Linked DNA regions of Sus scrofa. The protein of the gene in region 1 interacts with the protein of each later gene in a biochemical or structural test. Links are inferred from orthologs where the notes say so. Each region holds a gene or a part of one and is shown in the gene's direction. Other genes may lie near its edges.

Region 1 (4,653 bases):
GAAAGCTCCTCAAAGTAAGAAAACCAGTGTCCCTGGTGCCATTTGCAGACGCAGGCTCAGCTGGTGTGGCCACGAGGGATATGGTGTTTGGAAGTGACTGAGGAAGCATCAGGGAGGATGTGTACACGCGCCTGTTAGAATGTGCCTCCCTGGCTGCCACCAGCATTTTAATAAAGTATCCCAACTCTGAGCTGGCCTCTTGCCCTGAACAAAGAGCTCTCTTGTCACAAGAGTTTCTTTGGCAAGAAGAAGAAGAGAGAGCAATAGGCAGAGAGGGAGTTGGCAGAGGCTCTTGGGAAAGAAGTTTGGCCGCCTCTACAGGGTTCAGCAATGTTTGTTGAATGAATAAGTGACAGCGTGGGTGGGTGAAGGAATGACACCTCCCTGGTCACCTTGTGTCTTCTGGCCTCAGCTTCCTTGTTTGCCCTGAGGAATTCCTGGACATGTTCCAGACGCATCTTTCCCCTGGGCCCTTTCTCCACAGGGGCATCTGCATGACCGCTATGGACAGCTGGTGAATGTGTACACCAAACTCTTGCTGACCAAGATCTCCTTCCACCTCAAGGTAGTTTCCTCAGGAGTCGTGGGCCTGGGGGGACCCTGGGCTCTTCCCTCTGTGATGTCCTGGGACATCGTGGAGGGTAGGGTCTGTCCTGGCCTGACCCCAGGGGACTGTCCTAAGGCCCTGAGGCTTTTCTAGACATAGGTGGTGGTCTCAGTCCCACTCTGCGCCCTGACTGGACGTCCTTGTCCCCTCTCCCCGGGTCATCTGGGCAGATGGCGGCTCCACAGGCTGGGGGGCTTCTCCCACCCCTCCCCCTCCCTCAAAAACTAGAAGTGGGTCTGGGCCAGAGCCAAATGGGGCTGCGGTTGAGTGGTGGTGTCCTCTCTGCAGCACCCCCAGTTTCCTGCGGGCCTGGAGGTGACAGACGAGGTGCTGGAGAAGGCGGCTGGCACTGACGTCAACAACATGTGAGTGCCTCGGTTTCCCTGTCTGTCCCTGCAGTGTTCCTCACCCGGGTCCCCACGGGGGCTGTGTTCTGTCCGGGGCTGAGGTCCTGTGCCTGGGACATGAGGCTAAAGCTGAAGGATGGGGCATACTTGGGACTGGGCGCTGGGGCTGTTGGACTGCTGTCTGTGCAGAGGCGTGTTTTGAACTGTGTTCCCTCCTCACAGACCCTGCCTCTCAGCCCTCCCTCCTCCTTCCTCCCTCCCTCTGTCTGTAGCTTTCAGCTCACCGTGGAGATGTTTGATTACATGGATTGTGAGCTGAAGCTCTCCGAATCAGGTGAGCTGGCCAGATCCAGGGTCTGGGGGTCAGTCTCCGGGGCTGGGGTTGGGACCAGAGGGAGAGAGGCCTGCCACCTCCAGGGGGCCAGCCTGACTTACCACTGATGACCGCACCTGCCCCCAGGGGTCCATGCCCCCGCCAGAAGCAGGTCACAGGGCCTCCAGGGGAGGTGCCCCCAAAGCACCAGAAGGAGAGGCCTCTACTGCCCCTGCAGGACGCCAGGCCCCCCACCACAGTCTGTCCAGGGCAAGATCTCGGCTAAAGGAAACCCACTCCATTGGCCTCAAGGCAGGGAGAGTGGGGGTGGGAGGGGGCGCTGCCAGGAGCCTCTTCAGGTTCCTGATCCATCTCCCTCTGGACTCAGGTCTGCAGAGCCCGCCCTGAGACAGCTGCCTTGGGCCGTCTCGCCCATTCCCTGCTGTAAAAGGCCTGTTCCCAGTCCTCGGTCGGGAAACCTCAGGGGGCTCACCCTCCCTGGGCTGCAGAGGTCATTGTTTGGGCAGAACAACTTGTGGGTGACTCAGTGCTCTCCATAGGAGAGTGAAAAGCAAATGCCTTTTTAAGGGAAATCAGAGTTAGAAAGAGGTGGGTCTGGCAGCCTCCTGGCCTGCCAGGTTCCGCACTCTGAGGCTGGCTGAGTCTGGGGGGCAGCCGTCTTGTAGAGATGTGCCTCGCCCAGTGGTCCCCTCGAGGGGAGGTGGGCACCTCCACCCACGTGCCACCATATCCCTGAGAAATAGTGTGAGGGGGTTTGTAACAGCCCCGAACGGGAAGTGTCCTGAACACCCCTCAGATGATAAGTGACTATGATGTATTTAAAACTCTACGTAGTATTTCATGGGTATTTAATTTTTTTAAATTATTTTATGGCCATACCCACAGCATATGGAGTTCCTGGGCCAGGAATTGACTCCAAGCTGCAGCTGTGACCTATACTACAGGTGCAGCAATGGGGATCCTTAACCCACAGTGCCAGCTGGGGATCAAACCCACACCACCACAGTGATCCAAACCGCTGCACGTTCTTAACCCACTGTGCCACAGCAGGAACTCCTTGCGTGTATTTTCATTTTTTACAAGGAAAATGTACTTGATGTAGCACATAATTAAGAATTCGGTGTATTTGTCCCTTCTCCTATTTGGTCCATTGGATGAAAGAAAGGCTGGTTCTTGGGGGCAGGGGAGATTGACCCCTGGTGCAAGTGAAGTTTGGGAGTCCCTTGGGGTTTGCAGAACTGCATCTTGAGTGAGAACCGCTGCTGTGAAACAGACCAAGCCCAGGTCTCCATCCTTCCCTAAGATTCAGGGGGAGCTGGAGGCCCATGGGTGCAGGACAGTCAAAGTCACCCTGTCCCTCCACATCCTGGGCCCATCACCTGGAGGCGCTCGGGAAGCCCTGGCCAAGCTGAGCTGGGTTTCATTTGCCCCCACCTTGTCGTCACTCTCGTTCATGGGCCCAGTGGGCCTCGGTCTGTGGCAGTTTCAGCACAGGGGGTCCATTCCAGCCTTGAGGAGCACGTCACTGTCCCAGGGCCTGGAGTAGAGTCCCGCTGCCCATCCAGGACCCCTAAAGCTGGTTTCTCAGGTGATTGCCCCATCTTCAAACCTACCTCCTGAAGTTGCTGTGACAGTGCCATGAGATGACAGCCAGGGCTTATGCTCAGCCACTGTCCTCAAAGTGGCATCACTATGCCTGTGACCAGAGTGGGCTCTGCGCCTGCTTCTCCCGGCTCCCTGTGCTCAGTGTCCTCCTCCCGACCCTCTCTTTTGCAGTGTTCCGGCAGCTCAACACGGCCATTGCTGTGTCCCAGATGTCCTCGGGCCAATGCCGCCTGGCGCCCCTCATCCAGGTCATCCAGGACTGCAGCCATCTCTACCACTACACTGTCAAGCTCATGTTCAAGCTGCACTCCTGTGAGTTCCCCCCAACCCCCAATTCTGCTTGCCTCAGGCCCTGAGGGTCAGCCCAAGGCCCAGAGGAACTGTGTTGATAGACACTATCAGAAATGGAAACCAAGCAACTTTGAGATATTTATTAATTAAGCATAGCAATAATCTCATTACCCATTACCATAAATAACATACTTGTTATTTTAAAAATTGCTATTTTCCTAAACCAGCTGTAATGGAAAAAAAAATCATTAAAAAAAAGAATAAAATTTAAAAAATAAAAATTGCTATTTTCCAAAACAAAGATTTAGTGAGAAGAGCTGCTGCTAGTTTTATGTGTTTTGGTTCCTTTAAGCATCTGGCCTTGGAGGTGGCAGTGGGCCTCACCCCGCTTGCTGAGGCGGCCTGCGGCGTCTCCTTAGTGTTCAGAAAGGGCCACTGGCCGGGCGTCTGTGAGCCGCTCCACCGTCAACCTCAGGCAAACTAGAGAGAGCGGCGTGACAACACAGCAGGGCTGGGGTGGAGCTTCTGTCCCTCTGCCTTCCCTCATCCAGTCCAGAGCTGAGCCCTTCACGGGGGTGTTGGCTGGCCCTCCCCATGAGGGGTGTGTCCCAGCTTGGCGGCAGGTGATCTCACTAATCTCTGCGGATTTCTAGAATGTGGAGGAGGGAGTGGATCTGAAGTGTTAGGCAGAGAGCAGTGAGCAGAGAGGAAGTCCCATTACACCTTTCTGCTCCCAGGTCTCCCCGCAGACACCCTGCAAGGCCACAGGGACCGGTTCCACGAGCAGTTTCACAGGTAGCAGCCTGGGCAGGGCTGAGGATGGCCGGGAAGAGATTCGGTGGCTCCTGGCCACATGGGCTGGGGCTGCCGGGCCGGGGCCTGGCTCCTCTGACCGCCCGCATCTCTCCCCCGCAGTCTCAGAAACTTCTTCCGCAGAGCTTCTGACATGCTCTACTTCAAGCGGCTCATCCAGATCCCCCGGCTGCCCGAGGTACTGCGCCCTCTAGAGGCTGCCGCCAGGCTGCAGCCCTTTTCCTGCCGTGGGTTCTGGGCTCTGTGTGCTTGAGGACCTCGGTGCCTGGTGGGGGTGCCGCACATGGGGCTCCATGTAGGCTATGGGCTCGGCAGAGGGAGGGCTTCCTGGCCGGGGGGCGGAGAGTGCTGAGCAGTTTCCACCTGCCACCCCTGCAGGGACCCCCCAATTTCCTGCGGGCTTCGGCGCTGGCCGAGCACATCAAGCCCGTGGTGGTGATCCCCGAGGAAGCCCCCGAGGATGAGGAACCCGAGAACCTCATTGAGATCAGCACAGGGCCCCCCGCGGGGGAGCCAGCGGTGAGCTGTCCTCTTCTCGCATGGAGCATTAGGGGTGACCTGGCTTCAACCTTCCCCTCCCCAGGCCTGGGGGAGTGGGGGCAGGGATCATTGTGCTTTGCCGTGGCAGGTGGTGGCTGACCTCTTCGAGCAGACGT
Region 2 (4,653 bases), on another chromosome or scaffold:
GTTGGGGACCCGGTGTTGCCATGAGTTGTGGTATAGGTCACAGACGTGGCTTGGATCCTGTGTTGCTGTGGCTGTGGTTGCCAGCTACAGCTCCTATTCAATCCGTAGCCTGGGAACTTCCATATGCCACGAGTGTGGCTCTAAAAAAACAAAAACAAAAACCAATTATTGAATACCTGCTATGTGCTAGGCACTGTGCTGGGTGCTGGGGACAGACAGTGAACAGAACAGGCAAGATATGCTGACACAAGGGTGATGTTCTGATAGAGGAGACAGGCAGTGGACAAGTAAGCATTATGATAAAGTGAGGCCATTTGGGACTGTGGGTTATTGGGCAAATAAAACTAACAGAGAGGGACTTTAATGATAGAAACACAGGGGACTCCCCATGTGACAAGAAGCGTTTGAAATTCTTTACACTTTTGAACTCATTTTATCCTCATCTTAACCCAATGGGGTGAGCACTGTTTTGTAGCCCATTTTATGAGGAGGAAAATGAAGCACAGAGAGGTTGAGTGACTTGCTCAGGGCCACACAGGGGGAAGAGTTGCTGGCGGAGGACACAGCAAGTGCAGAGGCAGGGTACAGTCGCAGGAGACAGTGGGTGCGAGGTGGTTTGAGATGTGAGGGATGTCCTGGTACTTGGGTGCCACAGACAGCTGGGCAGGTGGACAGGCTGGGTACACCGCCCTGTGTTTGCATCCTAGGATGCTAACGGTCCAGCTGATGGCTACGCTGCCATTGCCCAGGCGGACAGACTGACTCAGGAACCCGAGAGCATCCGCAAGTGGAGAGAGGAGCAGCGGAAACGGCTGCAAGAGCTGGGTGAGGGCCGGGCTGGGGCTGGGAGCTGGGCTGGGGTGCCCCTGACACTGGGTTGGCTGTTTGGGACATGGTTGGGGTGGGGACTTGGTTGAGGATGGGCCCTGGGACTCCCGCCAGGGATGGAGGGGAGAAGCTGCCAGGACAGCTGTGTCCTCATGTCCCTGCTGGAAAACTGCTGCTCATTCACCTGTTGGGGTCACAGATGCTGCCTCCAAAGTGACGGAACAAGAGTGGCGGGAGAAGGCCAAGAAGGACTTGGAGGAATGGAACCAGCGCCAGAGTGAGCAAGTTGAGAAGAACAAGATCAATAACCGGTGAGAGGATGTGAGGGGGCTCTGGGGACTGTGAGAGGGCTGGGGGGACAGCGAGAGAAACCATGGGGACATGAGAGGACCTATGAGGACACAAGGGGGCTGAGGGGGACAGTGAGAGGACCTATGGGGACATGAGGGGGCTGTGGGGACAGGGAGAGGACCTATGGTGTGGGGACTACTGAGGATGGTGATTTGGCAGCGAGAGCTGGGAGGAAGGAGAAGCTGAACCCCCCAGAGCTATTCCCTCAGCCACGCACGGAGGTCAGAGCCCTGAATCTTACCTCCTGATCATGACAGAGAAGATCGAGTTTGTCAGTCAGCAGATGAGGTCCCAGGACCCACTGGAACATGAGCCAAGCTGCCCTGGAGCCCAGTGGCAACAGCTTGACCTGGGCTACCTGTGGCCACGGTCAGCATCACAGGAACACAAGCCTGGCTGGGAGGGAAGAGCCAAGCTGTGTGCAGGATTTTATTGCTTATAGAAATGACAATGCTTTGACCCAGAGCAGCTAAGGAATAAAAGGCAGAATTAGTGGCCTATATAACTGGAAAGGCCAGGGGTGGGGATGCAGGCATGGTGGGCTCACGGGCGGCAACAAAGTCCATCAGCGCTTACTCTTACTGTCTCTCAGCTCCGCTTTCCTCTGCGTTGCTCTCCCTCTCAGGCACGCACACCTGGGATGGGGGCAAAGCTGGCCACCAGCAGCTCCAGGCTTCTGCTCTATTTCCTTGGCAACTTCAGCAAAAATAAACCTCTTGCTCCCATAGCTCCTGCCGAAGTCCTTGGGCTGACCGTCATTGGTCTGGTATGGGTCACGTGCCCATCCCGGCCCCAGTGACGGTCTCGGGGGAGGGACTCTCCTCTGATGGACGCAGCCTGGGCAATAGTCCCATTCCTTGGGTGGTGCTTGGGGTCCCATCCCACCCAAACCACAGGGACTGAGTGGGGGCAGCTGATGCTTCAACAGACAATTGGAATGCCCTTCCTGGAAGAAGAGGGACAGATGATGGGCAGGAAAGACAGCAGATGCCCACCCAGGGACACCTTTGCAGAAATGGATTCAGACTGGACACTGCCCAGCAGCCCTTGCCTTTGTGTTCTTCAAGGTACCAGGCCCACCAGGAAGGGAAAGGCTGGCTCTGGGAAGCCACCAACTTCTGTTCAAGGAGCTGCTGTGTATGAGGCTCTGGGCTGGGCAGTGGGGAGACAGAGATGAAAAGGAACCAGTCTGTGTCCTCACATAGCTCAGGGGAGAGAAACACACATGTAGAGCTGAACTCAGTAGTAGAGCCCTCTGCAGGAGGGCTATGGAAGCAAGGTTGGGGGGACTTCTTTCTCTGGAGACCTGGGCTTTGAAGGATGCTTAGGAGTTCACCAGGAAAAAGAAGATGGGGGTTGGGAAGGGTATTCTAGACCAGAGAACAGCATGGTATGAAAGAAAGGGACATTGTGCTCGGGCACCAGGGAGTGGGGGGAGAGAGGGCGGGAATGAGGGCTCACACATGCAGGGCCGCGAATGCCAGGGTTGGGCAGACACAGTTGGGGAGCCACTGACGGTTTATAAACAGGAGGAATAACATGATCAGGGCTGAGTTTTAGAAAAGACCACCCACTCGGGTGGGTGGAGAATCCCTGTTCTCTGGGCTGTGGGTAGTTGCCAAGCCTTCTAGAACTGAGCTTCCTAACTCGTCTCCAATGGAGGTACTAACGCTGTCTCTCTTTCTCTTTAACCCTCTGCCTGTCTGTCTTGCCATCCCGTCTTCCCCCCACCTAACCCCTTTCCCCTAAGGATCGCTGACAAAGCATTCTACCAGCAGCCAGATGCTGATATCATCGGCTACGTGTACGTGTCTCCTCTGCTCCTCTGCAAGGGCCCCTGTGTGTGGCCGGAGCAGTTTCTTGAGTCTCCCGCTTGTGGGGTATAAATGAGTGTGGCTGGGCCTGGGGCAATGATCAGAGCAGGCGGTGAGCCCGCAAGGCGGGTACAGGCACCAATCTTCACCTCCATCCCTCCAGCAAATGTTTATTGAGCCTCTACTCTGCCTGGAGACAGCTTTGCTAAGTCCAGGCAGAAGAAAGAAAAGATATCCAGGTGAGAGAGGCGAAGGGCGAAGCAGGCCACCTCCCTTCCTCTGAGATGCCTCTCGGGTGGGAGGTGGGTGAGTCTTCCACTGAACAAGACAAACATTGAGGGAGCTCCCGTTGTGGCTCAGCAGGTTATGAACCCGACTAGTATCCACGAGGATGCTGGTTTGATCCATAGTCTCGCTCGCCAGTGGGTTAAGAATCTGGCATTGCTGTGGCTGTGGTGTAGGCTGGCAGCTGCAGCTCCATTTTGACCCCTAGCCTGGGAACCTTCATATGCCACTGTTGTAGAAAAAGCAAGCAAGCAAGCAAGCAAACATTGAGTGCAGGTGCCAGAGGTATAAAGAATGCACAGCCATCCCCTCCTCCTGCCCCCAAGTGTACTGCTTAGAGCTTCAGCCTGAATTTGACCTTAAGCTCCTCCCCAGACCACCATGGGCCCCTCTCATGTGTTCCTGGTTTGGGGGTCTAATCATTTCTGTAACTAATCCAGACTTGAGATGTAGAGACTTCCTCTCATGCCACCCCAGCTGGTTGATAGTGACAGCCTGGAGGGTGCATTGGGGGAAAAGAATGCAGTGATGAACGTGTGATGACTGCCACGTGCGTATGTGCCAAATATTTGCTGTTCCTCATCCTGGGTACGCCCTTGGCAGCCTCTGACGCCGTCTGGGCTAACCCTTCCCTCACCGAACATGGGACACATCAGAGTAACAGCCTTCCGCCCCTCTTCCACCCCTCCCTTCCGTCCACTCTCCCATCTGTCTAGGCTTACCCTCTGCCAGTCTCTGGTCAAACAGGAATAAGACACACAAGGGTCTGTTCCCTCAAGTTGGGGAGGACCTGTTGTGATAAGAGCCACATGCAAGGACATGCCAGGCTCTGGGAGCCACCCTCTGCTGGGGGAGCCAGGGCAGGCTTCAGAGATGTGGAAACTTCAGCTGTCCTAAAAGTGTGGGAAGGAGTGTGCTGGGTTGGCAGGGTGAGGAGGGCATCCTAGGTGGGAAAACCTGCTGGGGCCAAGGCAAGGAGATGGGAAATGTCTGGCTGCCTGTGGTATCTGGGGTGGTGGGAATAGAGCGGGAGGTGGTCAGTATGGAGCCAGTTACAAAAAGCCTGCTGTGCAATGTTGAAAAGCTCAGACTTGATCCTGAAGGCGGTAGGGAGCCATAGGAGGTTGGCAGGAGAGTGGGGATGGCAGAGGGGTGTCGCCCCTGGGGAATATCACAGGGGGTTCAGTGCTCCTGTTACGCCTGAAGAAATGGCCCAAAGAGCACCTCAGGAAATCCTGAAGAGAGGAAGCATCTAGATCGGCACTTCTCAGACTTCCATGTGCCTGCAAATCACAGGGGCTCTTGTCAAAAGGGAGATTCTGATTCAGGAGGATGGAGGTGAGGCCATGATTCCGCATTTCAAACAAGCTCCATG

The links.
Region 2: the proteins of HIP1R (region 1) and CLTB form a complex in vitro, tested with the Homo sapiens proteins (2 studies listed by BioGRID). The link is inferred for Sus scrofa from reciprocal best matches to the Homo sapiens genes HIP1R and CLTB.

Annotation. Positions count from the first base shown.
Region 1 is NC_010456.5:30,003,135-30,007,787, reverse strand, and holds part of HIP1R (huntingtin-interacting protein 1-related protein), read left to right. Parts: intron 1-484; coding exon 485-565; intron 566-895; coding exon 896-972; intron 973-1,226; coding exon 1,227-1,288; intron 1,289-3,064; coding exon 3,065-3,205; intron 3,206-3,921; coding exon 3,922-3,979; intron 3,980-4,099; coding exon 4,100-4,175; intron 4,176-4,375; coding exon 4,376-4,516; intron 4,517-4,625; coding exon 4,626-4,653. UniProt on the Homo sapiens protein: Component of clathrin-coated pits and vesicles, that may link the endocytic machinery to the actin cytoskeleton. Binds 3-phosphoinositides (via ENTH domain).
Region 2 is NC_010444.4:81,477,895-81,482,547, forward strand, and holds part of CLTB (clathrin light chain B), read left to right. Parts: intron 1-707; coding exon 708-825; intron 826-1,027; coding exon 1,028-1,139; intron 1,140-2,929; coding exon 2,930-2,983; intron 2,984-4,653. UniProt on the Homo sapiens protein: Clathrin is the major protein of the polyhedral coat of coated pits and vesicles.